7 linked regions of the Callithrix jacchus genome follow. The protein of the gene in region 1 interacts with the protein of each later gene in a biochemical or structural test. Links are inferred from orthologs where the notes say so. Each region holds a gene or a part of one and is shown in the gene's direction. Other genes may lie near its edges.

Region 1 (3,527 bases):
GAATGAGTGTTAGTAATAACCCAGTTCATGTAAATTTTAAAACATTTCTTCGGATTGATTCTTTGCATATCCTGAGGCAGTTAGGCATTCCACATTTTAACTTTAAATTCCTGTCTAGATCAGTATCTTTTGTCATTAAGTGGTCTTCAAAAGACTCTTGTTTGAATCTTGGTTCTGTCATTTACTATTTGTATACTAGACTAAGTTACTTCTTAAAGCCTCATTTATATCATGCGTAAAATAGGGGCAATGTATCTATTTTCTGGTATTGATTAAAATGAGAAACTTAAGCTTTTCCCTGTTCTCTTGAACATAGTTGTGTGTTCCTTACCTGGAATAGCTAACATTTTGGTTGGCCAGTGGGCAGAATGGCCTGTTGTAAACCCATTTGTACACATCTGGCTGTTGGAAGAAATAATCTACACATGTAAAAGTTTATTTTCAGATTATTCTGATACATGATTCTGTATGTAGGCTTTATTGCTATGTGTACTTTTTCCTTTGTGAGAATTGAGATCTAAAATACTTGTGTTTCTGGATAACTTTTTAAAAAACATTCTGGTGACTTACGTAAAATTGAATCTAAATTACGATTTATTACTCTATGGTAAGTTTTTGGTGTTTTTTTTTTTTTCCTGTTAATATAGACTTAATTTTCATGGGATAATTTAGATTCTTTATTACAGTGTAAATAGGTAATTTTGGTTCATTACTAGAGGAACACTTAGAAACAAATGTTATGGATTATTTAGCAATAATATTTTAAATTTGGGTTAAGCATACTTTTCTTTTTACAGAATGACAGCCCATATCAAGGCGGTGTATTCTTTTTGACAATTCATTTTCCTACAGACTACCCCTTCAAACCACCTAAGGCAAGTATTTCTCCTCAAAAATCTGTTAGTATAGATTTATGCTTTATTTCAAAGGAATAGAGCATTCTTGGAAGTTACGGTTCTGCCTAGGCTAAATATATATGTTGAATTGAGGCACTGATGTACAGATGCTGACTCTAAACCTTTGGTTTAAAGAGCTAGACCTCAATTTGAACTTTGTAAATGGTAATAAAGTGTGCCTTTTCCTTAATGTTGCAAGATTCAGACCACATGGAAGCTTACCCCCATTATTACATAGATTCTGATTATAGGCTTTGTTGTCTTGTAGGCATCAAATGTCCAACTTCAGTTTATATTTGCACATATTGCTACAACTTATGCTTACAGTTTTATATACATAACTAAATTTATGAAAACGAGTTGCCTAGTGCAGTGAGTTGATTGGTTTGTAGATACTAAAAGCATATTATCCTTTACTTTTAAGTCATTAACATAAATTCAACCTACATAAGTAACTAGAGAAGGTAGTATTCAAAGGACATAAACATGTCACTATTAACAGTCCGTAGTAATGTTACAGGTGCAATGTGATGGTTTCCATTTTTGTGATTCAGGTGTGTTTTATGTACAGTGGAATTGCAAACTCATGCATACCTGTGTAACTTGAAACTTTAAATGAGATGGTCTACAAATTTTGGTTGCATTCAAAATTAGGGCTTTTTTAAACGAATGTGTTAAATACCTTTAAATTGCTCTTTGATATTCATGATACAGTAGGACCAAAGTAACCTTGAGAACTTTCCTTCATATGAGTAATGAAATTTTTATCCAAAAGTTTAAGTTTCTGTTTTAATAAGAGGGAGCTGGGGGCAAGGGGAGTTGTGGTCAGATTGTGAAAACCAGTTTCTATATATTTGGAACTTGTTTGCTAATAGATAACATTTTTAACATTGTGGCTTGATTATTTTAAGTTTTGCTTTAAAAGATGTTTGTTTTTATTTGAATAAAATACCTAAAAGTTTTTGTTTTAGGTTGCATTTACAACAAGAATTTATCATCCAAATATTAACAGTAATGGCAGCATTTGTCTCGATATTCTAAGATCACAGTGGTCGCCTGCTTTAACAATTTCTAAAGGTAAAAATACATCCAGTGAAATAATCTTAAGCTGTTCTCATTTTCTAATAGTTTCATTCTGAGATGTACTTATCTGAGTGTTTTTATTCCAACTTTCTGGTAAGAGATGGGGAAGCAATAAAGTTACTTTTATCATTTGTGTTCTTTTAGTGGTATTGATTAAAGAGACTTTGTGAGAAGAGGTTAAAATTCAAATTGGGGTAGGTAGGCATTATTTGCCTAGTGAGTTACCTTCATCTCATAACAGCAAAATTTATCTTAATAGACTTCTGTATTTTTAATCTCAAACTGCTTGGACATGTCACACTCATTGCCTTTTTACCAAGAATGGTGTAATACACCTAAACTTAATAAAGATTTTGAATCCTGAAGTTTCCACTCTAGAAAAATTCTGATTTTGCTTTCCTGGGTTAATTTTTAGACAAATCTTTAGTCATGTGTTATGTAACCATTTTAGGTTGTTTCTACCTAATGACAGTCTAAAACTATAATCTTGGAAATATCTGTAGATCAATTCTGGTCTCCTACTGTTAATAGGCATCTGTTATGTTGTATCTAATAGGTTGTCCAGTCTCTTCATGAATATCCCAGGTGGAGTTTTTAGACCTTTTTTTCTCCCTCTTGGATGCTTTCTAATTTTTTTTCAGAACATGCTCCCATACCTAAATACCAGCTTCCAAGTTTTTCTGCCACTGCTGGTAATGTACTATAACAATGAAAACTGTTTTTGTAAGGGCAGATTGAATTGATACTGTTTTGTCATTAAAGTAACTTGCTTTTTTGGCAGCCATACTTTGCTAACTTACTAAACTAGGAGTCAACACTGAAGGTACCTTTTTTCTTTGAGTTACTATATAGCCCAGTCTCCTCCATTAGGTAATTTTTTATTTGCTCTGCTGCATTTGACTTTGAAATTAAATTTGCTATAGTCAGCAAATATTTATGTGACGATGTTGTCTTTATACTATTACTTTTTTTTTAATTCGTCAGAAACATTTCAAGCATTTACATCTTAACAGCGCCATGTCTGGTGACTGGCACATAACAGGCACTCAGATTGAATGAGATCTATGTTCCTTAATGTTTGACATCTTATAAATCAGTGTGTTGAACTAGTTAAGGGAAGAACTAGGGCTGATGACTCACTTGGTACTAAAGAGATTTTGGCATTATATTTAACCAGTACTCTTGAGAATATCGTTTCTTACAAGTTCGAGGAGATAAAACATTTAGTGGAGCACCTCAAAGTTTTTCTCAGAAAACTCCTGAGACAATGGCAAAGAATGGATTTTTCTTCATGCCCAACAACTATGAATAATATGGCATGAGTGTTGACCTGCATATTCTTGCTAAAGTTCTCTCCCCACCCCCAGAGTACCAAGAAACTCCTTAAGTTCTAATATCATTTATGCCTATTTAAAACATAGATTAATATGGCATCAGTTGCCTATCTTAGAAACTTTATTTTTATAGCTAGTCAGCAGTGAATTTGATGTCACAAACTCCATTTTTAGCTCTTCTTACTTACCAGGAGCTTGTCTTTGTCTTATTGAG
Region 2 (3,527 bases), on another chromosome or scaffold:
TAGCCGGGTATGGTGGCACACACCTGTAGTCTCCGCCACCCGGGTTCAAGCAATTCTGAGGCAGGAGAACCACTTGAACCCGGGTAGTGGAGGTTATAGTGAGCCAAGATCACATCACTGTACTCTAGCCGGGGTGACAGAGTGAGACTCCGTCTCAAAAAACTAAACAAACAAACAAACAAACAAACACCTACTTGGGAGGCTGCGGTGGGAGAATCACTTAATCCTGGGAGGTGAAGATGGCAGTGAGCTGAGATCGTGCCACTGCACTCCAGCCTGGGTGAGAGAGCAAGACTGTCTCTAAATAAATAAACAAACCTTATTAGTAATACTGAATAATGTATACTAACAGGTCAGCAGTAGTATCAGTGTAATTAGACTTGCATCTTACGATTCGATATTTCCCCCTAGTTCATTCAGTCTTTTTCTGTTTTCTACAGGACATCGACAGTAGTGATATCAAAAGCTCAACATGGCAAGACACAGAAATAGAAGATATGCCAACACTTTCTCCACAGATATGCCTTGGAATTGGAGAAAAAGGTGCAGATTCTTCAGTGGAGTCCCCCATGCCATGGTTATGTGCCTGTGGTGCTGAATTGTACCACGAAAGAAAAGTCAAAGCAGGACCAAACAATCATGATACAACGTGTGTCTTAACTCCCGAAGGACCTGAAACCAGAGATTGTGACTCTAAAGAAACTGCAGTTGTGCCTATTGGCAGAACAGAGAGTGGGTGCACCACATCAGGGATTACACAGGCAAACAGAAACAACACAGGTGAGACAGAAAATGAGGAGTCTTGCCTACTGATCAGTAAGGATATTTCCAAAAGAAAAAACCAAGAATCTTCCTTTGAAGCAGTCAAGGATGCATGCTTTTCTGCAAAAAGAAGGAAGATGTTCCCCAGCTCTTCCTCAGATCAAGAGGAAACAGAAACAAACTTTACCCAAAAACTGATAGATTTGGAGCATCTACTGTTAGAGAGACATAAACAAGAAGAACAGGACAGGTTATTGGCATTACAACTTCAGAAGGAAGTGGACAAAGAACAAACGAAGCCAAACCGGCAAAAAGGATCCCCAGATGAGTATCACTTACGTGCTACATCCTTACCTCCAGACAAAGTGCGAAATGGACAGAGGAAGAATTCCAAAGATAGGAACTTCAAAAGGCAAACTGATACAGAACACCCAAAACCTGAGAGAGGCTCAAGGGATGAAAATAGGCAGCTGTCTGTTAGGATGCAGCTGAGGCATTCAGTTAATGGAAGAAAGACGCCAAATTCTACTAGAGATCCTTGTAATGTATCCAGAAGTGCTCATTCCCTGCAGCCAAACATTTCACAGAAAAGCATTTATCAGATGTTTCACAGATGTACAAAGTAATGCATGCCTTTAAAGGGAGTGCTTTGTAATCTAGTAAAGCTGGATTGTGAAGCTCTTTTCTATTGTAGAATCTTTATACATGTGTCATTCATGCTGCTCTCTAGGCACACTCATTGTCCTTAATGAAAGGTCTGTGTGGTTGTAAGGACAATACCTTATGCCTTGGCCAACTCGAAGAAGTCTTCAAGTGCCATTCTTTTTCCAAAAAAATGCATGTTTTTTGGTCTTTGCTCACCTTTTTGTCATGACTGGTAATCAAATCACGATTATACTATTCTAAGTAATTAAGGAACCCATGCAGGGTTTAAAACCCACATTTTCTTGGCTATTGTCCCATGTTTACAGAATACTCAAATGTATTTTCCTGAAGTAATCTGATTTCCATCTCCAATTTAATTAAATTTTCAGCATTGTAGTGATTCCTTTGGTGATTTTTTGTTTTTAAACCAAGTTTTGCTCTGTTGTCCAGGCTGCAGTGCAGTGGTGAAATCTCAGCTCACTGCAACCTCCGCCTCCCAGGTTCAAGCGATTCTCCTGCCTCAGCCTCCCGAGTAGCTGGGATCACAGGTGTGCGCCACCAGCTAAAATTTTTTGGTATTTCTAGTAGAGATGGGATTCTCTTGCACTCCTGACCTGGGGGGATCCACCTGCTTTGGCCTCCAAATGCTGGGATTACAGGCATGAGCCACCATGCCTGGCCACTTTCCTTTCGTTTAAAATGGATTCGAATCAGTGTTAAATCAGAAAATCAGGGTTTTCTTTTTTTTTGAGATGGAGTTTCGCTCTTGTAACCCAGGCTGGAGTGCAATGGCGCCATCTCGGCTCACCGCAACCTCCGCCTCCTGGGTTCAGGCAATTCTCCTGCCTCAACCTCCTGAGTAGCTGGGATTATAGGCACGCGCCACCATGCCCAGCTAATTTTTTGTGTTTTTAGTCGAGACGGGGTTTCACCATGTTGACCAGGATGGTCCCGATCTGTTGACCTTGTGATCCACCCGCCTCGACCTCCCAAAGTGCTGGGATTACAGGCTTGAGCCATGAAAATCGGGGTTTTCTAGGAAATTGAGAATTTGTTGCCAGAAAGGAAACTAGACTATGCAAAAGGAGTTAAGAGCTGGGATGAAGCTGGTTGGGGTGACTGACGGTTTGGGATCATTGCAACTGAAAGGGTGGTTAGAAACTGGTCCTGGGCGAAGCAGCAGGTGCAGTTTGGCAGTTTGCTCCCTTGTCCTTCCTTTGTGAAATGACACAGGAGACATTTGGGTTTTGTAGCTTTTCACACTATACTATCAGGTGTCAAAATAAAAATTAGTTACTAAATTGTGTGAATTTTTGGAAACCTGTATTTCTGTTCATCTGCTATTGGAGAAAAAAATGAGAATATAGGAGAGTTATATCACAGTATCTTATGTTATGGAACCTGAAACATTATCATGTATTTTCTTATATTATTTTTTTGTTTTGATGCTGCTCTTATTTGAGTTTATGAACAGAGATAGAAAATAGGATGCTTGGGGTTTGCCCTTTCTTACTCCTGAAAGTTAAATCAGAAGACACTGATTTCATTTTGTGAAATTTAGCTCAGAGACGGTTGATCTTTTGGTTTCATTAATTAGTAACGAACAGGTAGCTTTAACAGCGTTTCTACTGATACCTAGTCACCTATTCTTTTAGTGGGAAAATAGAATAAAACGTCTAGAGCTAATTTAGCTTAAATTTGCCAGTATTTTTGTATGTCATTAAGACTTTTTCCTCCAAGTTTTGTAATAGAAATTTTGTTAATCTTTGCATACTTGATGGCATCTATGTCAATTTTGATTGGTTAATTATAAATTCTGTGCTCATTTAAAACTTAATTTGCCTCTTAAGGTGATTGCTCTCTGAGTAATGATTGTAGGCAAATGAAGTATAGTTTGCAACTGTACTGTCACGTTGGTAAGTAAAAATAAACTAACCAAATGTGTCTAAAACAGACCAAGATCAGTTTTCTCACCAAATCAGTATTTCTCTAAGAGCAGTTTCACTTCATGTTTTATAGTGGACATTCTTGGAACTCCTCAAATTAAAACTTATTTAATCTGTCTGGAATAGTCTGTGACCAAAAAAGAATGGAAAAACAATGGCCTCTGGTGTGGTATA
Region 3 (4,092 bases), on another chromosome or scaffold:
ATCTCTTGAACCCCGGAGGCTGAGGTTGCAGTGAGCCGAGATCGCGTCACTGCACTCCAGCTTCGGTGACAGAGACTTCAAGAAACAAAACAAAAAAATTAGTGGAGCGTCGTGGCGCACACTTGTGATCCCAGAGGCTCAGGTGGGAGGATCACTTGAGCCCGGGAAGCCGAGACTTCAGTGAGCCATAATCGCACCAAGGCACTCCAGTCTGGGCGACAGAGGGAGGCCCTGTCTGAAAAAAAAATCCTAGCAGTACAGTTACAAGGTCAAAGGATAAGGTACACATTTAAAAAAAACTTTTCCTCCTGAGATAACGACATAGAATAGTGTATGAACAACTCTTCATACATTACTCTCCAAGGTTTATCTTGTTTTTTTTTTTTTTTTTGAGACGGAGTTTCGCTCTGTTCACCCAGGCTGTAGTGCAATGGCGCGATCTCGGCTCACCGCAACCTCCGCCTCCTGGGTTCAGGCAATTCTCCTGCTTCAGCCTCCTGAGTAGCTGGGATTACAGGCACGCGCCACCGTGCCCAGCTAATTTTTTGTATTTTTAGTAGAGACGGGGTTTCACCATGTTGACCAGGATATGGTCTCGATCTCTTGACCTCGTGATCCACCCGCCTCGGCCTCCCAAAGTGCTGGGATTACAGGCTTGAGCGGTTTATCTTGTTAATCCTTTAAGACGTCAATATCATCTCCCTATCCTTGGCTGCACCTGAAAAGAGCCAGAGTCGGCAGGTAACCCGATCTCCTCCACCAGGTGAGTCCCGGATGGAGGCGTCAACTACAAGATCAGGAGCAGAGCACACCTGGGGCTTTGCTGGAACCCTTGGCGTGGGAATGCAGTCTCTTCCCTTGCCCGGAAGACTCCAAGTTCCCGGCGGGCAGCGGACTCGGTTCTAAATTTGCTCGCCCCAGCCTCTCCGAGCGCCCCGCGCACAGTCGGCCGTGCTTGGACAAAAGCTCTCCCGAAAAGGACCGGACACCAAGTCCCTCCAGGTGCCACAGACCTGCCGCCCCCGCGTCACTTTGCTCCCTGCCCGCTCCCTCCCCGCGTTCCGCGTGGGACCCTCGGCAGCAGCACACGACCTCCCAGACGGCTGGGGTCTGAGCCGAGCTCGCCCCGCCCTCCCCGCGCCCCGGGCACCCTGCGCGCGCCCGCCGGTCCCGCCCCGGCCCTGCTCCGCCCCGCCAGCCCCGCCTCTCGTCTCCTCCCCGCCCCCCGGAGCCGACGAGTGGCGGCGGCGGCCTCAGGTCCCGGGTCCCTCAGACAAGAGGGCGGGTGGAGGAGGAAGCGGCCGAGCCCAAAGTCCTGCTCCGGCGCCGCGGAGCACCGCCCGCCTTAGCCGACCAGCCCCGTCGTCTACTGGGCCTCGCCTAGACAAGAGGAGTGAAAGGCCGCGGCGGCCGTGCGGAGGCGGCGGGGGTGCAGGCAGAGGCGGCGCGGGCTGCCGCGGCTGCCGCTTTGTTGTGCGGCCCGGGCCGAGGAAGAAGTGGGAGGAGGGGGGAGCTCGGCGTCCCGCTCCCTCCGCGGCTCATGGCGACGACGCTCGGCACATCCGGGACCCTCCGGCCGCGGCGGCCGCGGCGCCGGCTGCTCGGGCCCCAGCCCCGGCCGCTGTTGTGACTCCGCCGCGTCTCGCCGTCGCCCCGTCCCTGGTCCCTGTCCCGCCCGCCGCCCCTTCGCCCCCGCCGCCGGGGACATGTCTAACCCCGGAGGCCGGAGGAACGGGCCCGTCAAGCTGCGCCTGACAGGTGAGGGGGGGGCGGCGGGCCGGGTCGGGCAGCGGCGGGGTGGGCGAGCTGGCGGGGGGTGCCTGTGGCCTTGGGAAGGGCCAGGGTCGCGATCAATGGTGAGTTGGGGGTCGGAGGAGTGGGAAGGCCTAGTTCAGGGAGAGTAATAGGAAAACCACTTGCTCCGGTTTGGACATTCTGTAAAAAGCCGAGGATGACTCGGGGTGGCGGGGGGGTGGTCTTTTGTGGAAGGGGGATACACCGGTTCGCGTCGCAGGAGGATTTTAGGTCGAAAGGTCTTGGTCGAGGAGCGGGACGCTGCTTCCCGGGGCTCGTGGGCTGCCGCCCAGGTGGGCTCTTGAAGGGGATGAAGAGCTCCGGTGGCGAGGATTATTGAATCCGGTTGCTGACTGCGCGTAGTAAACACTCCGTAAAGACGGAACGCTTAACGGGAGGGTGTGCGTGTGTGTTCCCGGGTTAACTTGCACACCCACTTATGCCCGCGTGCAAAACCTTTACTCCCCGCCGCCGGCCACCGCTGCTGGGGCCACACACCTTCAACTCACTTCTCTCTGAGGAGAGGAGACTGAGGTTGACTTTTCCGGTGTGCCAGTCTGATCCGATGGCTCGGGCTCATTGTACATTGTGTTTTGGAAGTGTCTGGATTGTAGGTGGCATGTTTGGGGTTGTTCCTTGTAGGCCGCAGAACTTGTGTCCCACTTTTAACTCCAGACCTGCTTTAAAAACACGGTTTTTTGGGGGGCGGGGGAGAGGATACATTTCTAAGTGTGTGCTCATACAAACTTTAGAGCGAACTTGTTCTTACTCTCCACACCCTCCCCCTTTTTTTCTAAATGGAAAGGAATGTCCGGAGGGGTACTACACTTACAAAGTGTTTATAATTTCAGGTGCATGAAATCTTTAACATTACAGGTACGTTTTGCTTACAGTACCATTTTTGGTATTCTTACATGGACATGCCACCCCCATTTTAGGAAAACTTGTATTTGGTTTGAAAAGTAATTGAGATCATGGCGTTATCCTTCCTTCACCATTTACTCCTGATAAATTGTTTACGTTTATATTCAGATGAGTGGCGAGAAAGATAATTTTCCGTAGAGGATTTGTGTGTGCGTGCACGTGTACGAATAAACTGTAATTATGTTTGCCCACACTAGACTTTGAGATTTATTTGAACTAATTTTGTAGTTGAATGCTTCTATGTGTCATCCCAGTCCGCAGGCTGGACTTGCTAGATGAAAACTTGCAGTGAATTTGGTATTTGAGAATTTAGCTTGAATGTATGTTGGCTGTAATTTAAATAATATTTTACCTTCAAGACAGTTTTGCTTTCCCTGGAGAAAATTGGCAGGGAATCATTAACCAAGTGGTTCTTAATGGAAAACCTGGATTGGAAGATACTTGGATTCCCCCTACCCGCCCGCATTCAATGTCCTTATATTGGTAGGAGTCAGTGGAAACCTTTAGGGGGATCTTTGTTGCTTTAGAGTTTTATCTCTTGCTGTTGCTATCTGGCGTCAATGATCGTGGAAAGAACATGTGATCCCAGGTATGCAGAAAACGTCAGAAATAGGCTGTTGCCATTTACTTCTCTCTAGGCTATGTAGAGAAAACTAGGGGAAAAAAATAGGGATTTTGATTTTCTGCAGATAGATGAGTTGAGGTTTTTAATATGACTCAATAGATCTTAAAGTGTTTATCTGTGGTTTCCCCACTGCCTAAGATACATTATAAAAATTTATAAGTGAAGTTTGCTAAGAGGAAAGATTATGCTTATATTTCAGGGGAAGAAGGAATAAATAGTGAAGTACATTTAGAGAGTGATTTTGTTTCAGGTTTTTCTGAGGAATTTTAAATTCGCTGTGTCCTCTTAATAGTAAAAGCAGTTTGAGGTGCTCTGAGTTTCTTACAACTATTTGTCTCTGAATAGTTTTCTCTTAAAATTTGACAAATATTAAAAACATTGTCCTTCCTTCTTTGGTTACAGTGGAGTCTCTTCTGTTTTGCTAGGAAAGTTAACTTTTTTTTTCATTTTTGTTCAGCATTTACAAATTAGATGGTATAGATTTTAGCAAATAGATCTCAAGAGCTGGATTCAATTAGCAGCTTTTTAGGACATAAACATTAAAGGGTTAGATGGAAAAGATTGTTTTGACTGACTGGATAAATGACAGGACTGTGTTTGATGTGCGTCCAGGAATTGGTCTGGAGCTGGTGCCCAACTTCTCAATCCATCTTGAGAAGCCAAATAAAATATTTAACCTAGGCCTCATTTTGTTTAAAAAAAAAAAAGAAGGTTGATTCTTTGTTAAGACCTTAAGAAATGTTTGGCAT
Region 4 (4,110 bases), on another chromosome or scaffold:
TATTCCTTGTTTGAAAATACAAATTGCTCAGAAAAACTCTGGGATTTCTCAATAGAATCTAAAGCCTAAGAAAATTGTCACTAGACCTCAGTTAAAAGAAAGATTAGAGGCCAGGCGCAGTGGCTCACTCCTGTAATCCCAGCACTTTGGGAGGCAGAGGCGGGTGAGTCAGGAGTTCGAGACTAGCCTGGCCAATACGGCGAAACCCCATCTCTACTAAAATACAAACATTATCTGGGTGTGGTGGCGCGCGCCGATAGTCCCAGCTATTCGGGCGGCTGAGGCAGGAGAATCGCTTGAACCTGGGAGGCGGAGGTTGCAGTGAGCCGAGATCGCGCCACTGCACTCCAGCCTGAGAGACAGAGCGCGACTCCGTTTGAAAAAAAAAAAAGGATTAGAAATGAATATTATGTTAATAACTAGGCATTGTGCCCCACGCTGGCTAACCATCCCCCGGGCCGCCCTGCTGCTGGGCGGTTTACTAAGCACAGCTACATGCATTCGTTCACTAAATCCTCACGCCAACCTGCGTTTCTGGGATGAGAAAACCAAAGTTCCTTAAGGTGAAATACGTTGCTAAAAGGTGCAAGGGGGAAAGGTGTGGATTCTTGCTGAGTCATTATCATTCTACCACAGCCTTCCTCAGCAGTTTCCTCATCTTCCTGAGGGGAAGTAGCTAGTCCTAGGGGTTTAGACTGGAAAGTGCTAGAGTGAGTGGGACAAACGTGGGTTTTTAGGTTCAACAGACCCGGCCTCTAATAACTCCCAGCTGTGGGACCCTGAATAAGTTCGTGACCCCCAGTGGGGCTGGGTTTCTGCAATGATAAAGTGGGGAAAACCATCGCCTGCTCATAGACTGATGAGAGAGGCAATGAGACATGAAAGCCACCTTTCAAAGTTTTATTATGAAATGAGTTCGGCGATGTTAAGGGACTCGATCAAGGTCACCAAGCCGAGTCTTGACCCAGGTAACCTTGGACCTGGACCCTTGGGCGCCTCTAGCAGAGTTGTGTGATCAAAGTAACCAGCAGTCCACAACCTGACTTCGGGGAAACGACGCCTCCTATAGGTCCCAAGGCTCCGGCCGCCCCGGCCCCCACCTCCGGGAGCCTCAGCTCCGCCAGGGGGCGCGCGCGCGGAGGCCGCACTCGAGGCCGCCGCGCGCCTCGCTCTTCTCTATGGTGACTCGGGCGCGGCGGGAGCGGAGGCGCGCTCCCGAGAGTGGGCGGGGCCAAGCCAGGGGCGGGGCCGTGCGAGGGGCGGGAGCGGCCGGGCCAGGCCGGCTGAGAATGGGTGGGGGGGGGCCGACTTCCTGGGGCCGCCCGTGAGGATGTCGCGACCGCCCCCGGGTGCCCCTCAGCCCCAGAGACGCCGCCGCGGCGGAGTCCGCAGCCTCCCTGCCTGAGGCATCCGTAGCCGGTATCCAGCCCCTCCCCTCGCCTCCCCTCCCAGGTGCTGGCCCGGCCGGCGGCCGCAGCAGGTGAGGAGGCGGCGGCGGCAGCGCTGGGGGCCGTGGGGCGCCCGGCCTGGGGAATGACGGGAAGGGGGGCGCTCGGGTGCCGCCAGGCTGTGGTCTGGGGGCTCCTTCTCTGTGTGGGGCGCGGCCTGGGACTCTCCCTGCCCTACAGGGGTGAGGGGAAAGCCCCTTCCTTGCTGGAAGTCTCCGCCTTGAGGGCAGCCCACACCTGTCCTTTGAAAAGTCCTCTCAAAGAAAGCGTTTCACCTGTGGGGTCAGTAACGGGAGACGTGCGTCCTCCACTATCCCCAAGCGCCCTACAGACCGGCAGGTCTAGTTGGCCTGTGGGGAAAAGATAGAAGCCTCTTTGTACGGCAGAGGAAACTGAGGCAGGTCTGCGGCGGCCTGCTCACCCCTTTAAAGGAACCAGCCGGTCCCTACCTCCCTCTTAGACGGAGGCGGCTGGAGGAGGGAGGTTTGGAGTTTGGAGGTTGGATGGAGAAGTTTGGGAATGCGGCTCTACCCCCAGGGTCCACTGTTCCCTCGCTTGGGAGTTGTCCTCTGTTCGCGATGTGTGTGAGATCGCTACTGTGCGATCAAGACCGAGAGGGAAATGGGGCCTCTCTTCAGCCGGCTGCCCAGGAGACATTCGACCAGACATGGGGAAGTCTGGCGAGACCAGGGAGCCAGAGCCTCCGCTGGCATGTCTGCTCATGAATTCAGGCTGGCAGAAGAGACAAACAACAGCGTATTTTCTCCTTTTTGTTGGTCTGTCATTTGTTCTTGGGGGGAAAAAAACTGCTTGTGTAATCAAGAGTGCACCGTTGCACTCCCTAGTCTACCATAAGGAAAGATTATTGTTAGCTTGGAAATAGGGTTTTACCCACAACTGTCACTTTGCTCCCTGGTTAAAGGCCAGAGTGACGTGATGAGCTAACATCCCAGGGTGCCTGTGGCCTTCTAAGAAAGCAGTAAGTTCCTTATGCATCCCTTTGATTATTGGTTTGGAGGCAGAGAGACTTCCTGTTACCACTGTCACTGCAACTGTTAGGGGTGCCTAATCATTCTCCCAGTGACAGTTCAATTTACTCAAATGTGGGCTGGGCTGCCCATTTATTATACCATTCTTCTAGGAATGAGAGTAGGCAGGGGACAGGGCACTGGGCTGAATTTGTGTAGAGTTCTAGGGCTGCAGCCTAGCCGTGACAGTTCTTTCTGTTCAGGGGATTTCAGGTTTGACAGCTTCTCTATCCTTTTCCCTGATTGCATTCTCTTTCACATTCAAGGAAATAGATGATGGCAAGGGTTTCTGAACTTTTATTGTACATTTACTGATTCTGAATTTTAGAGTACAATTCATAAGTTACAGTTTGTTTAGAGGTATTCTTAAGTTTGAAAATTCTTGGGTATTGTGCATAACAATTGCAGATGGATGTGGCAGGGCTAACTAATATCTTGCTGGTGATTGAAGAAAATGTTCATGTAATCTAGGACACACTTATTATAATATCCATCTAATTACAAAGACCGGCCCATTAAAAACTTTTATATTGGTGAGGTAGACAGTTGTGATATCTTGTTTACATTGGGATCAAGGGTTGTAAATACTCTAAATCGACCAGTTTAACCAACTGCCAAAATAACATGCACAAAAAGAGAAAGCTCTTCTCAGAAACCATAAAAATTGGTTTATTTCATGCCTTCTCTCACGACCAAGCCAGTTGACATAACTCTGCTTAGTACCATCTAATAGGAACACCTTTTTTTTTTTTTTCCTTTGGAAACAGTCTCACTGTCACCCAGGCTGGAGACAGGGTTTTGCCGTGTTGCCCAATCTGGTCTCAAACTCCTTCAGCTCAAGCCATCTGCTGGCCTCCACCTCCCAAAGTGCTAGGATTATGGGTGTGAGCCACTGTACCCAGTGGCATAATCATGGCGACCTCCTAGGCTTAGGTGACTCTCCCTTCTCAGCCTCCGGAGTAGCTGGGAATTCAGGCAGGCACGACCACGCCCAGCTAGTTTTTCTATTTTTTGCAGAGGTGAGGTTTTGCCATGTTGTTGGTCATGAACTGGGCTCAAGCGATCCTCCTGCCTTGGCTTCCCAAAGTGGTGGGATTATAATTGTAAGCTACCTCCTGGGCTGGAACACTTCTTAAGGGTAGTGGAAAAGGCATTTTCAGTGACCAGCATTTAAGAAGACAAAACAAACAGCAACAATAACAAAAAGGGGCACAATTTCTTTTCTAATTACATGAGCATTGTGATTTAAATATAGTCACACCCATCTCTATGAGTGTCATGCCTAAGACTTTCTAAAAACATCTCCGTAAACCTAAGAACTCGTTAGGGGGACTAATTCCACCTTGAATTTTTATTCTTGACATAGAACTTTTAATACTGCCATTGTTTTAATGATGGAGACTTTTATACCAAACTTGTACTAGCCATAGTGTTTATGTTTTTGAAGGAAAGATTTAACCTCTATACCTTAGAATCTCATAACTTGTTAATACAGGAACAGCGTTAAGGTGTTAGAGTTTATGAGAACACATAGTTTAAATTGTTACTGGTGAAGTCTCAAGCAAGGAGCTGCTTCATTATTATTGTTGTTTCTTTTTTTCTTCTATTTTTTTTTATTGAGGTCCTCACTCATT
Region 5 (4,053 bases), on another chromosome or scaffold:
TACCTCTGTGGTCTTCCTCCTCCAAATCCATAACCCCAGTCTCATCACAAGAAAAACATCAGACAAATCCCAACTGAGGGACATTATACAAATATCTCTCTAGTACCCCTCAAATTGTCGAGGTCATCAAAACAAGGAAAGACTGACAATCTATCACAGCCAAGAGGAGTCTAAGGAGACACACAGACTAAATGTCACAGTGGTTTCCAGGTGTGCTTGCTGTTCCTGGGATAGAATGCCAAGGTGGGGTGGGGCCACCAACAGATACCTATGCACAGCTTAGGGAAGCATTTCCATGAGTGCAGCTTTGACTCCCACCTACCTTCCTGGCCCCCTCCCCTCCCCTTCCCTCCGTTCCTCCTCCTCTCCTCTCTCCTCCCCTTTCCTTCGTTCCCGCCCCTCTACCCTCTCCTCCCTTTCCCTCTGTTCCCGCCTCTCCCCTCCCTTCACCTTCCCTCCGTTCCTGGCCTCTTCCCCTCCCCTCCGCTCCCCTCCCAGACGTTCCGGGTCCCCTTGTCTCCCTCCCCTCCTCTCCCCTCCCCCCTCTTTTTTGAGACGGGGTCTCCCCAGGTTGGCCTGGTTGGTCTGGAACTCCTGAGCTCAAGCGATCCGCCCCTCTCAGCCTCCCAAAGTGCTGGGATTACAGCACTTCCATGACTTTTTAATAAATTAATTTATACACTTGTGCAACTGTCACCACAATCCACTTTTAGAACATTTCTATTACTGCTTTCCTTCCATTTCTCCAACCCCATCTGCATTAATCCCCGCTCCCACACCTCGCCCCAAGTAACTGTGCTTTCTGTCTTTGTAGATTTGCCTAGTGTAATTTATTTTTTGCTTCGGCAATATGAGGAGGTCGTGCAAAATAGAAGCTATTTAGGAACAGGCTAAGCGGACTTAAAACTGATGGAAAGTTTAAAGTTGTTTAAAAGTGGGCTATAGTTTTACATGATTTTTTTAAAAAAGAGGAAAGGTGAGGAGAGGTTCCAGTCTGGGGCGGCTAGGACTAGGTGATGGTTTGGGAGCTGGCAAAAGAAGGTGTCACGTGACGAGGAGAGCCCTCGAGCCGCGCCCGCCCCGCAGGAGTCGAGATCCGCTACCAGCCAACCCTCTCCGCCCCGGGGCGGCTGCCTTCCTCTCGCGCAGGTGCAGTGCTCCTGCTTCCGGGTCGACGGCGGGCAGGCGGAGCTTGTATTCGCATCGATGTGAGCGCGTGGCGATTGCTTCTGTCTGTTGTTTAGCTATGGAAGCTGCCTGGTTGCTGCGAGGCTGCAGGAACCCGGGTCGGGGTCTAGTTCCGTGCTGACCGCCCCCGGGGTCGAGTAGACGATGGGGGAGCCTGGCTTCTTGGTCACGGGAAACCGCGCCGGTGGTCGGAGCTGGTGCCTGCGGCGGGTGGGGATGAGCGCCGGGTGGCTGCTACTGGAAGATGGGTGTGAGGTACAAGGGAAGGCGTCCTGTGGGGCGGAGGGCAGGGGCTGGAGGGAGCGGGGCTCCGGAGAAGGAGGAAGGCGTCTAGGTGGGCGGAATGAATGGCAGAGAGGAGGCAGGCACACAGAAGACGAACGAGGGGATGGGGGGGGTGGATCCTGGGGAGAGAAGGGAGGGAGCGGTTCTGGCTCGAGCGGCTGAAGGGTCTAAGGTGGGAGGTATTTGGGGAGAAATAGGGACCGAGTGGGAGAAAGGAAGAGAAGAGAGTTCGGCTCTGGAGGGCCACAAGGATTGGGGTGAGGACGAGGCCTGGCCCGCGGGCGGTGGGGCGAGAAGAGGGCCCAGCCCAGAGAGGCCTGGGTCTGCGGGGAGTGGGGTCGGGGCCGGGAAGGAGAGGGACGCGCAGAGGATGTGAGGAGAAGCGGTGTTATAGCGGAGTGGAGGGCGGGGCCTGGCCAGATCCCATTTAGGGCGCCCGGAGCCCAGCGGTGCCGGGCCTGGGAACAGTGGATTGGAGCCGCGAGCCGCTGGGCAGCCGAGGCGGGGCCTGGAAGGGCTGCCCGGAGCTTGAACTTTCTCGAGTTTGCTTTGAAAACGAATGCGAGTTTTGGGTTTTGTCCCTTAAAGTGATCAAACTCTCAAGTAGAAATGTCTTCCTCCTTCCCACCTCTGAGGAACAGGGGCGCCTTAGGCTGGGCCGCATTTCTCCCGCGAAGCTCGGTACGTCCGAGTGGCACCCCTAAAGGAGGGATCGGGCAGGGATTCCGAGTTCTCTCCAGAGGATGCCTGTCGCCTTTGTTAATATAATTCCAAATGAAAATTTTTTAAAGGGGAAAGATGAGGCACGTTCCTGGCACGGTTCAAGATGCACTTTGAAGATGATGCATCCTCAAAGGGCGAGGGAAGGGAGGATGGAGTTAGATTGCAATCAGGTTGAGAGGAAAACTGAGTCAGGGACAAGCTGGTGATGACGGGGAACCATTTGGGTTTTGGAAATCTGTATGAAAGGTTCCCTTTGCAGTAAAAGTGGATAGTTGGTCGTGATGTTGTAAACTCAAAAAGTCTTTTGAGCCTTACGTATGTTCAGGTAGATTTTGCCTGTAAGTCATACTCCTCAATTCAGTCTGCCAGGTGTTGACAGAGTACATAACATTGGTGTACAATGAGAACACATAAAATTTGTGAGCTCAAAGAGTTTCAGGCTTAAGTGGGGAGAGAGGATTTATACAATGAAGCAGTCTAAGAACTGTATATGGGCTGTATGATCAAGTGCCAAGATATGGATTATTTAGTTCCATCCCAGAGCAGTAGTTCTTCAAGTCAGGGGAGGGATTCATGTTCAGGCTCAACTTTAGTTGCTAGATTAGAGAGGGTTATAAAGGGTTACTTGTATGTCGTGATTTCGGGAACATGAAGAAAACACCTCTGCCCCCAAATACCTCTTCTATCCAGGTGTTAGTGCCCAAAAGTCCACATTAGGCATTCATTCCTTTAGCTTGAGCACTGACCTTTCCCTGCCTGGCCCTTTCCAACAGTATATGTTTCTGAGAAGTTTAACAAATTAAAACACCAACACCTGAGTAATAACCTGAACAGTACACACAAAATAAATTATTTTTATGTATAACTGTTACTTAATACATTATTGAATGTGATCCCTGCATACACACAACCTTGTAAGTTAACTTAGTGGGCAGGTGTTACTCCTTTAGATTCCGTTGTTGTGGATTAATTTATGACTTCTGAATAGCTTGGTAGGACTGCAGCCTTGGGCAAGTGGGATGGGGAGGAAGGATTAAAGCACCTGCAGGAAGGGCAAGAAGACTATAAAGCACTCTTAGACATATTCTACACATTTTGATCGTTTTGTGTCAGGGCCACTTCTATGGGGAGAGACCCATACAAACTGAGTGAATGATGACACAGTGTTAAGACTGGCTGGCTTCAGGGACCTGTGTGGAGGAGAGGCCTGCAAGGTCAGGTCATGGCATAGCCTGAAAAGAAATCTGAGTCAAAGGCAAGAGAAGTTGTAGTTATTGTAATGGTCCCCAAATCATAGGACAAGCTGTTTTGCACAAGATTTTAGGAGGTATACTAATAACATTGTAACAGCAAAGTAGGTCAGTTCCCTGCCTTTCCTGTTCTTAGTCTCAGATGTTGCAGATAAAATAATAAAACAGAGTTCCCTTCATTTCATTGATGGGAATACTGTAGTAAATCGGTTGTCTAAATAAGTGGCTTTAAGCTTGTTAAAGCAATGCATGGAGTTTGGTGGAAAAACAATTAGAGATTTATTGCAAATTAGCTAGTTCTCAGGTACTATAAAGAATCTTTGCCTTTGAGGAAACCAACAGAACCTTTCTCCCCTTTTATTCTCTTGTATTTAGTTTTCATGAAGTTTTCTGCCCCAAGGGAAAGGATGGTTATATTTACTGGTTTGGGGCTTTTTGTTTTGTGGTGCTTTTTTTTTTTTTTTTTTTGACAGAATATTCCATCACCCAGGCTGGAGTGCAGTGGTGTGATCACACCTCCACCTCCTGGGTTCAAGGATTCTTCTGCCTCAGTCTTCCAAGTAGCTGGAAGTAGCTGGAATAGTAGGAATTACAAATGTGCACCGCT
Region 6 (4,268 bases), about 72 Mb from region 1:
GTAGCGAAGACCTCAGCCTGAGCTGATGCTCGACTGGGGCTGAAGGATCCACTTCTAAGGTGGCTTAGTCACATCGCTGTTGTCTGGTTAGTTTAGACCTTTGCAAAGAGGCCTTGGTGCCTTACTATGTGTTTCCTCCCCATAGATGTTGAGTGTCCTCACAACATGGCGGCTAATTTTACCGAGTGACTGATCCAGGAGAAAGTAAAGTGCAAGCCACAATGTCTTTTATGATCTAGCCTCAGAAATCCCATTGTCATTTTTGTGACATTTTATTGGTCACACAGGTCATCCCTATGCATCAGAAGAGACTCTACAAGAGTGTTAATAACAGGAAGCAAAGATCATTGGGGCCATCTTAGAGGTTGGCTGCTGTACACCACCATTCTTTTCCCCTTTTGTTGAGAGGAGTAAAAGAGAGAGAGAATGCTGGAAAAATAGCAAAGGATAAAAGGATGTAGAACGTAAAACAAGTCACCTCCCTCTGGTTTCCTACAAGCTGTAATTCTGCATAGGAAAGCTAAGGAGCATGGAGGCAGGGGCGTAGATAATATTAAGCCAACTAGGCTTCTGCTGTTTTTAAGCAATAATGACACCTTTCCCACTAACATTCAAATTCTGAACCAGGGAGAAGTAGACACAAATGTCAGAATAGTGGAGATCAGAATATCAACCTCATTACTGTTAGTAGTGGATTGAATTTGTGGTCACAGCCCTCCCCTCCATATCTGGACCTTGGGGCTGCCTTCCCAAGGGATAATTTGGGTATGTGGGGTAGATTACCTTCCTCAGAATTGCTGCCTCACCCATGTCAAACCCCAGTGTAAGGGACACAGAGAGAGATTTCCAGACTCACTTTCCTGACCTCTCTGTGCTTACAACACAGAGGTGGAGCAGAGCCTCCTTAGCCTGTGGCCAGGTGGTTCAGTGAGGACTGAACCTCCCTGCTCAGCTACTTCCCTCAGTCTTGCCAATCAAATAAATTCACTCCTGTTTTCTTGGAGAAGAGGGAGGGACAGAAATGATGGCCCTCCCAGGAAATGAAATGAAACTCTCCTTTATGGCCAAGATACAATTACTGGGAGGGAACAAGGATGGCTCGCCTTATAAAGGTCACTCAAATGAACCAGTCTGGGCCATCAGTAGTGGACTGACACACATATCCAAGGCCGGTCTTTGTTAGTACTGAGTCTCTATGAAACAGAAAATAGCAGCATTTTGAGTTGTTTTACCATCATGAACGAATTAATGTTATGTCCTATTCATGTGGAAGGTTCATGCAGACTAACAGTACACCATTTTTTAAAATAACTGCCTTGAATTGCCTTAACTAAAATCTCTTTCTTTTCTAGGCACAGGGTGGTGGTTTCCTATCCTCCTCAGAGTGAGGCAGAACTTGAACTTAAAGAAGGAGATATTGTGTTTGTTCATAAAAAGCGAGAGGATGGCTGGTTCAAAGGCACATTACAACGTAATGGGAAAACTGGCCTCTTCCCAGGAAGCTTTGTGGAAAACATATGAGGAGACTGACACTGAGAAGGCTTAAAATCACTTCACATGACAAAATAGCACAAAGCAACTTAATGGAAAGAGCACATTGGTGGACTTCCAGATGGTCAGGAGATGGGCAAAGGATTGGTGCGTGACTCCCATGCCCCAGCACAGTTCCCCCAGCCAGCAGAGTGAAGAAGGTGTTTGTGTGGGTTTTATCAGTCTGGATTCGGAGGTGTAAGGTGTGCCTTGTACTGTCTGATTTACTACACAGAGAAACCTTTTTTTTTTTTTTTTTTTAAGATATGTAACTAAAATGGACAATTGTTTACAAGGCTTAACTAATTTATTTGCTTTTTTAAACTTGAACTTTTCTTATAATAGATACATTCTTTGGATTATGATTTTAAGAAATTATTAATTTATGAAATGATAGCTAAGGAGAAGCTGGATTATCTCCTGTTGAGAGCAAGAGATTCATTTTGACATAGAGTGAATGCATCTTCCCCTCCCCTCCTCCCTGCTACCATTATATTTTGGGGTTATGTTTTGCTTCTTTAAGCTAGAAATGCCCGTTCTCTAATTTGGTTTTCTTCTTTGGGAAACCAGACATACAAATGAGTATCAGTTAGGGCCTGGGGTAGAGAGAAACTTGAGAGAAGAGAAGTTAGTGATTCCCTGTCTTTCTAGTTTGGTTAGAATCACCCTGAAGATCTAGTCCTCAATTTAATTGTATGGATTTTTAATTTTCCTAGAACGAAATCACTGAAATGATGAGAAAGAACATAGCACAGCCCTTGAACAAAATGTATTCAGAAATATGTTTAGTTTTATAGCAGAAGCAACTCAATTGTTTGGTTGGAAAGTAGGGGAAATTGAAGTTGAATTCACTGTCTGAGAATGGCTATGAAGCGTCATTTCCCATTTTACCCCAACCGATCTGCATGCCCAGGCCACAAGTGAAACATTTGTGAGATAGTAGTGGTAAGTGTTAGGTCAAAGGCTGTAAGAAACACTGTGAAAAGTTCATAATCATCCGTTGTGATTCTTTCCTCATGTCTTGCATGTGTTACTGGATTCCCACAGTGATATAGACTGTGCATGGTGTGTATATTTCATTGCGATTTCCTGTTAAGGTGAGTTTGTACTCAGAATCGACCAATTCAGGGGGTGTAAAAATCAACAGTGTTCTCTTCTCTACCCCAAAGCCACTGCTGACCCAGGTCTCTTCAGTGCGCTCACTCCCTCTCTGGCTAAGGCATCCATTAGCCACTACCCAAGTCATTAGTGAAAATGCTCTTTTATGTCCTCCCAGCAGACAGACATCAAGGATGAGTTAACCAGGAGACTGCTCTGTGACTGTGGAGCTCTGGAAGGCTTGGTGAGAGCGAATGTGCCCACACCTTACAATTGTGGCGGGACCCAGCTGAGCCTGTCTTTTTATATCCATTCTTTGATGTCATTGGCCTCTCCCACCGATTTCATTATGGTGCCACGCAGTCATGGATCTGGGTAGTCTGGAAAACAAAAGGAGGGAAGACAGCCTGGTAGTGAGTAAGATTCTTACCACAGTTTTCTCATGGGAAATGGATAATAAACCCTTTCATCTTTTTTTCTTTTAAGAATTAAAACTGGGAAATTAAAACATGAACTGAAAAGTCTTCTTGCAATGGCAAGAGGTTTCATGGTCTTAAAGATACATTATATGGTTGAAAATGAAATCATTCCTAAATTAACCTTTTTTAAAAAAATAAAACACTGTATATTATGTTCCTGTGTGTTGAATTTTTAAAAAATACTTTACTTGGATATTCATGTAATATATAAGGGTTTGGTGAAATGAACTTTAGTTAGGAAAAAAGCTGGCATCAGCTTTCATCTGTGTAAGTTGACACCAATGTGTCATAATATTCTTTATTTTGGGAAATTAGTGTATTTTATAAAAATTTTAAAAAGAAAAAGACTACTACAGGTTAAGATAATTTTTTTTACCTGTCTTTTCTCCATATTTTGAGCTATGTGAGTGAAGTACCTCTGTTCATAATTTCCTGGTATAAAGTTGGTTAAAATTTCATCTGTTCATAGATCATTAGGTAATATAATGTATGGGTTTTCTATTGGTTTTTTGGAGAGAGTAGAGGGAGATTTTTTAACAGGGGCTTGTTACACAGTGATATGGTAATGATAAAATTGCAATTTATCATTCCTTTTCATGTGAATAATTTGAGGACTGGATAAACGGTTTCAAGATTAAAATTTGATGTTCAACCTTTGTGTGTCCCTTGTGTCAATCCTTAAAATTTTCCTTTTTTAAATTAAAAAACACACACACACAAATTTGACCTAATTTGTACCTCACAAAAATTCTTTGCATACACCTCAAACAGAAGATGTCTGCCAGAATGTGATGATGTACATTTTACCTCTGCAACTTACAAACCTTGTTTATTTCTCCAAGAAGCTTAAAAAGAGTTTGTGGAGTCGCACAAGGTCGTGTATGGCACTTGTGTTCCCTCTTCCTCTTCTGGTTACTAAAGTCATCTGGTTAGTGCTAGAAGTTTTCTTAGCCGTAGAAGGAGCAGACCTATAACCAACCATGTGATAACCTGTAAGTCTCAGCATGGCTTGTGGAGAAAATCTTTAGATTCACCACGATTTTCATCTTCCATGAAATGAAAGGGCCATGTAAGTCATATTAAAAACTATTTTTCTATTAACTTTTGGCTACTGTCAAATTGCTTATCATCAGAATTGAAAATCAGGAATTCTAGGTTGTA
Region 7 (4,313 bases), about 35 Mb from region 1:
AATGTTTAATAGGCATTCAACAAATATTTAGGAAAAAAATAAATACAGAAGGGAAATCAGAGGGAGAGAAACAAAGAAACTGACAATATCTGTAGGGTGGGATAGCGAAAGATATTTATATGTATTAATTTTAAAATAAAGAGAAAAGACAGGGAATAAACTTAGTGCTGGAGCAGAACCTTGAAAGAATAGAGCATAGATCAAGTACATTTTAATGTGGGAAAGGTTCACAGCCGGATTGAGAACATGGACAATGCTACAGGTGAGTAACATTAAGCTTCCAGGTATTTTAAGATGTGCAATTTTGAAGAGAATAGAGGAGCACAAAGGATAATACAGTTTTGCCTGGACCCTCATCTCCACATAAGAGAGGAAAAATTTCTAATTAAAAATATGATACATCACAGAAAATTATATAATACCCAAAGTCAAAGTATAGGCTACCTTTAAAAATCCTGCAGATGTTTATTCAAATATATACTGTTATTTAAAGTGAAAGACAAATCCTAATGTTATTGTGTCCAACTAATTGTTGCTTTCTAAGAAAGGTGACACGGAAGTAAATGGAAAGAATTATATGAGAACTCCTTAGATATGTTCTGGTAATCTAACAGTGATTAGCTCTATGACCTTGACCAAGACACTTGCACTGACCGGAAGTTCCTTTCTCTTACCAACAAATTGAAGGGACCAAACTGGAATGACCTAATGTCATTTATGGCACTAAAAATCACATGATTCTATTAAATCTGAGGCAGTGCCTCAAACGTAGTGGACTCCCAAAATTATTATTACTTTTTTTTTTGAGATGGCGTTTTGGTCTTTTTGCCCAGGTTGGAGTGCAATGATGTGATCTTGGCTCACTGCAACCTCTGCCTCCCAGGTTCAAGCGATTCTCCTGCCTCAGCCTACCGAGTAGCTGTGATTGTAGGCATGCACCACGCCCAACTAATTTTGTACTTTTTTTTTTAGTAGAGACAGGGTTTCTCCATGCTGGTCAGGATGGTCTCGAACTCCCGACCTCAGGTGATTCGGCCTCCCTCCCAAAGTGTTGGGATTACAGGCGTGCGCCACCGCGCCCGTCCCTCAAATCATCTATTAAATACATAATATCTTGAAGTGGTGTCCCTCACTGACAATCTGGAGCTATTACTAGCCTTCAGTTTATTTATCAAATGAAGCTGTTTCCTCTTCTTACTGTAAGACTCTTTTAAGGATTTGCAACGCAATCCCATCATTTCGCGAGTTACTAAAGCCTTGCTTGTTTGGCTGCAGAGCAAGGGTGACGACTAACTTCTGGACTTCGGTTCCATCTTCATCTGCCGGATGCCAGTCCCAACAGTAACGCCCACTTCGGCCACCTCCACCACAGCACATCATGCGGCCACACCCAAACCGGAAATCAGGACGCCCCAAGGGTTGACGGGAAAGTGCTGCCGGGATCCTTGCTTCCCCAGGCCCGCCCTCTCTGATGACGTCTCTGCCCGCCCCTTGACCCCCGCGGTCCCGCCCCCTTTCCTACCTCCTGGTAGCCGGCGGCGGAGTCTCAGGCGACTATGGAAAGATCCGAGACGGTGGCCGCCTCTCCTAGGGAAGAGGCGACCTGCTCTTCCTGGGGGACTGGCAGGTGAGAGGACGAGGCGGGCGAAGGTGAGGGTTCGCAGGTGGGACCCAAGCTCAGGGTTTCTGCTTCTTTCTCTCCGGCGGGCCGGGGGCGCCCGAGAGGCCGCGAGGCCGAGCAGAGCCGGCTTGGGGAGGTGAGGGGCGCGCGCGGAGTGGGTGTGGCGACGTGAGCTAGGGCCTCCGCTGTTCCCGGCTTTCCAGAGGAGAAAGTCCCCTTCCCGCACCTCACAGGTGCGCTTTCTCAGTTCTGGCTGGGATTCAGGATCCTTCTTCCTCCCATTCACCAGACTTGCGGGGCTCCTGCTGAGAGCGAGTTCTGGTCCCGGTCACTTGGCGTGAGCTTCCCCGACTGGTGCCAAGCACCTTTCCTCCTTTCCGTAAAAAGAAAGCTGGGAGCGCCTCTGTGTACCTCCACTGAGATCCTCTTTTGAAAACTATTACCAGAAGGAACTTAGTAAGAACGAATCAGTAGCAATCTGGACACCCCGAGGCCTCTGTTGACTACGGAAGAAAAAAAGAGGCCAGGAAAAAAATATACAAGTTACCCATTCTTATTTCCCACTTGGTTTTGAAATTCTTTGGGTCTTTCCCGCCCCTGTAAAATTAGGGGAAAATGTGCCAGGCCTTTACCAGATTCTTGGTTAGTAATTCCTCTGTAAGTCATCTCATAATTAATAAAGCAAGTAATGATATCCTGTCCACCACTGTCAGAATACACCATGCCAAGATAGAAATGATGGATGTATTATTTTCAGCTGATGTGAGACTTTGTAAACCTGTAGCTTTTTCGCCAGTTTCAGACTGCAGGGATGCTTTCAGTTTCATGGTATTGTCTGCCATTGCCAACACTGCCAGACTTGTGGTATATTATGTAATATAACCCGCGTCTTATTTGAAACGTTTTGATTGTCTTATAGATCATGTTATTTTTACATATTCTTGAAATATTCCAGTGAGGCACAACTTTCTGAAAAGTGCCAGTCATGCCATTAAGTGGCAGAGCTAATTACAATGTAGCTCTTCTCGTTTTTATTCAGATTTACTCACAGGCCTATTGCCCCCCTTCCCCAAGCAAGGAAAACAGCAAGTGAAAGTGTAGTAGGGTAAGATGATAGGAAAGTAGATAATAACAAATTTTGTTGGCCGGGCTCAGTTACTGACGCCTGCAATCCCAGCGCATTGGGAAGCTGAAGCGGCCGGATCGCTTGAGCTCAGGAGTTCTAGACTAGCCTGGGCAGCATGGCGAAACCTCATCTCCACAAAATATAAAAAAATTATCTGGATGTGTTGGTGCGTGCCTGTAGTCCCAGCTACTCGGAGGCTAAGATGGGCATATCGCTTGAGTCTGGAGAGGTCGAGGCTGCAGTGAGCCGAGATCGTTCCACTAGTCGGAGTGACAGATATCCTGTCTCAAAAAAAAAGAAACCAATTTTGTTTATTTTTATATTTTGTTACAATGCCCAAAATGTGTATGCGTGTATGTGTGTGTTTTTTATTAGATAGCTGATCTTTTAGAACACAGCTATCTTCTGATTTGCCTTGGTAATTGCAATCAATTTTTGTACTAGCTATTCGTTTAATTAGCTAAAAGCTGATATCATTTGATACGTGTCAGTGTTTGGTGAGTTAAATGATAACGTTTTAATTACCTTTGTTTACAAATTCTTGGCTTATTTATTAATGCTAGGACTAGAAAGTTGGATTCCAAATCTGAATTTCATTTAGAATCCTTTAATTGACAATAAGAGCTTCTCAGAACTAGGAATGGCCTGCACTTCTGCCAGTATATTGATCTCAGCTCTCACAGTGCTTCAGCTCCAAATGCCCCAGACTGGTTGGCCATACCTGGGAATTATCTCTGCTTCCCTGTGTTTCCTACTGATAACCTTTTGAAGGCCATGCTGTGAAATAATTGAGACCAGCACTGCTGTAAATGTTACTATAATAAGTATACTTTGTCAGGTTTGTTATATTTAGATTATTTTTTTCTTTTAAAATATATTCATTTAACAGTTTTTTGGGGTTTTTTTGCTTTTTTTTTTTTGTTTTCTGAGGCGGAGTCTTGTTCTTTTTGCCCAGACAGGTATGCAGTGGTGTGATCCTGGCTCACTGCAACTTCCACCTCCTAGGTTCAAGTAATTCTCCCGCCTCAGCCTCCAGAGTAGCTGGGATTACAGGCACCTGCCAGCACTTCTGGCTAATTTTTTGTGTTTTTAGTAGAGACAGGGTTTTACCATGTTGGCCAGGTTGGTCTCAAACTCCTGACCTTAGGTAGTCACCCGCTTCGGCCTCCCAAAGTGCTGGGATTACAGGCGTGAGCCACCGCACCTGGCCCATTTAACAGGTTTTTTTAAAGTGCTTTTTTTAATGTCTACTATCAGAGGCAGTAGGCAGCATGTGTGGTAGTCAAGAGCTAGACTGCCTGGATTCAGATCCTGGCAGTGCCATTTGCCTGCTCTGTGATTTTGGGCAAATTTTAAGTGAACCTCTCTCAGCCTCTTTTTTGCCATCTGTTCATTGGAGATAGCAATAGTGCCTGCCCACTGTTTGGACAAGGTTGTTATTGTAAGGGTTACCTGAATTAGTACATCTAAAGCACTTAAAACAGTGTGTAGCACAGGGTTATCTATCATTATTAAATGCCTGGTATTATTTATGTATTTGGAATAGAGTGGTGAGCTTTTAACAGA

Evidence for each region.
Region 2: the proteins of UBE2D3 (region 1) and RNF168 form a complex in vitro, tested with the Homo sapiens proteins (5 studies listed by BioGRID). The link is inferred for Callithrix jacchus from reciprocal best matches to the Homo sapiens genes UBE2D3 and RNF168.
Region 3: the proteins of UBE2D3 (region 1) and SMURF2 form a complex in vitro, tested with the Homo sapiens proteins (12 studies listed by BioGRID). The link is inferred for Callithrix jacchus from reciprocal best matches to the Homo sapiens genes UBE2D3 and SMURF2.
Region 4: the proteins of UBE2D3 (region 1) and RFFL form a complex in vitro, tested with the Homo sapiens proteins (5 studies listed by BioGRID). The link is inferred for Callithrix jacchus from reciprocal best matches to the Homo sapiens genes UBE2D3 and RFFL.
Region 5: the proteins of UBE2D3 (region 1) and RNF8 form a complex in vitro, tested with the Homo sapiens proteins (4 studies listed by BioGRID). The link is inferred for Callithrix jacchus from reciprocal best matches to the Homo sapiens genes UBE2D3 and RNF8.
Region 6: the proteins of UBE2D3 (region 1) and SH3RF1 form a complex in vitro, tested with the Homo sapiens proteins (2 studies listed by BioGRID). The link is inferred for Callithrix jacchus from reciprocal best matches to the Homo sapiens genes UBE2D3 and SH3RF1.
Region 7: the proteins of UBE2D3 (region 1) and UBA6 form a complex in vitro, tested with the Homo sapiens proteins (2 studies listed by BioGRID, with this or other methods). The link is inferred for Callithrix jacchus from reciprocal best matches to the Homo sapiens genes UBE2D3 and UBA6.

What each region holds. Positions count from the first base shown.
Region 1 is NC_133504.1:94,544,068-94,547,594, forward strand, and holds part of UBE2D3 (ubiquitin-conjugating enzyme E2 D3), read left to right. Parts: intron 1-797; coding exon 798-875; intron 876-1,867; coding exon 1,868-1,973; intron 1,974-3,527. UniProt on the Homo sapiens protein: Accepts ubiquitin from the E1 complex and catalyzes its covalent attachment to other proteins. In vitro catalyzes 'Lys-11'-, as well as 'Lys-48'-linked polyubiquitination.
Region 2 is NC_133516.1:25,640,515-25,644,041, forward strand, and holds part of RNF168 (E3 ubiquitin-protein ligase RNF168), read left to right. Parts: intron 1-440; coding exon 441-1,388; 3' UTR 1,389-3,527. UniProt on the Homo sapiens protein: E3 ubiquitin-protein ligase required for accumulation of repair proteins to sites of DNA damage. Acts with UBE2N/UBC13 to amplify the RNF8-dependent histone ubiquitination.
Region 3 is NC_133506.1:89,931,638-89,935,729, reverse strand, and holds the start of SMURF2 (E3 ubiquitin-protein ligase SMURF2), read left to right. Parts: upstream 1-1,271; 5' UTR 1,272-1,706; coding exon 1,707-1,758; intron 1,759-4,092. UniProt on the Homo sapiens protein: E3 ubiquitin-protein ligase which accepts ubiquitin from an E2 ubiquitin-conjugating enzyme in the form of a thioester and then directly transfers the ubiquitin to targeted substrates.
Region 4 is NC_133506.1:99,078,698-99,082,807, forward strand, and holds the start of RFFL (E3 ubiquitin-protein ligase rififylin), read left to right. Parts: upstream 1-1,306; 5' UTR 1,307-1,480; intron 1,481-4,110.
Region 5 is NC_133505.1:45,694,255-45,698,307, forward strand, and holds the start of RNF8 (E3 ubiquitin-protein ligase RNF8), read left to right. Parts: upstream 1-1,231; 5' UTR 1,232-1,332; coding exon 1,333-1,443; intron 1,444-4,053. UniProt on the Homo sapiens protein: E3 ubiquitin-protein ligase that plays a key role in DNA damage signaling via 2 distinct roles: by mediating the 'Lys-63'-linked ubiquitination of histones H2A and H2AX and promoting the recruitment of DNA repair proteins at double-strand breaks (DSBs) sites, and by catalyzing 'Lys-48'-linked ubiquitination to remove target proteins from DNA damage sites.
Region 6 is NC_133504.1:22,210,995-22,215,262, forward strand, and holds the end of SH3RF1 (E3 ubiquitin-protein ligase SH3RF1), read left to right. Parts: intron 1-1,352; coding exon 1,353-1,521; 3' UTR 1,522-3,763; downstream 3,764-4,268. UniProt on the Homo sapiens protein: Has E3 ubiquitin-protein ligase activity. In the absence of an external substrate, it can catalyze self-ubiquitination. Stimulates ubiquitination of potassium channel KCNJ1, enhancing it's dynamin-dependent and clathrin-independent endocytosis.
Region 7 is NC_133504.1:129,688,215-129,692,527, forward strand, and holds the start of UBA6 (ubiquitin-like modifier-activating enzyme 6), read left to right. Parts: upstream 1-1,500; 5' UTR 1,501-1,556; coding exon 1,557-1,627; exon of another isoform or gene 1,628-1,650; intron 1,651-4,313. UniProt on the Homo sapiens protein: Activates ubiquitin by first adenylating its C-terminal glycine residue with ATP, and thereafter linking this residue to the side chain of a cysteine residue in E1, yielding a ubiquitin-E1 thioester and free AMP.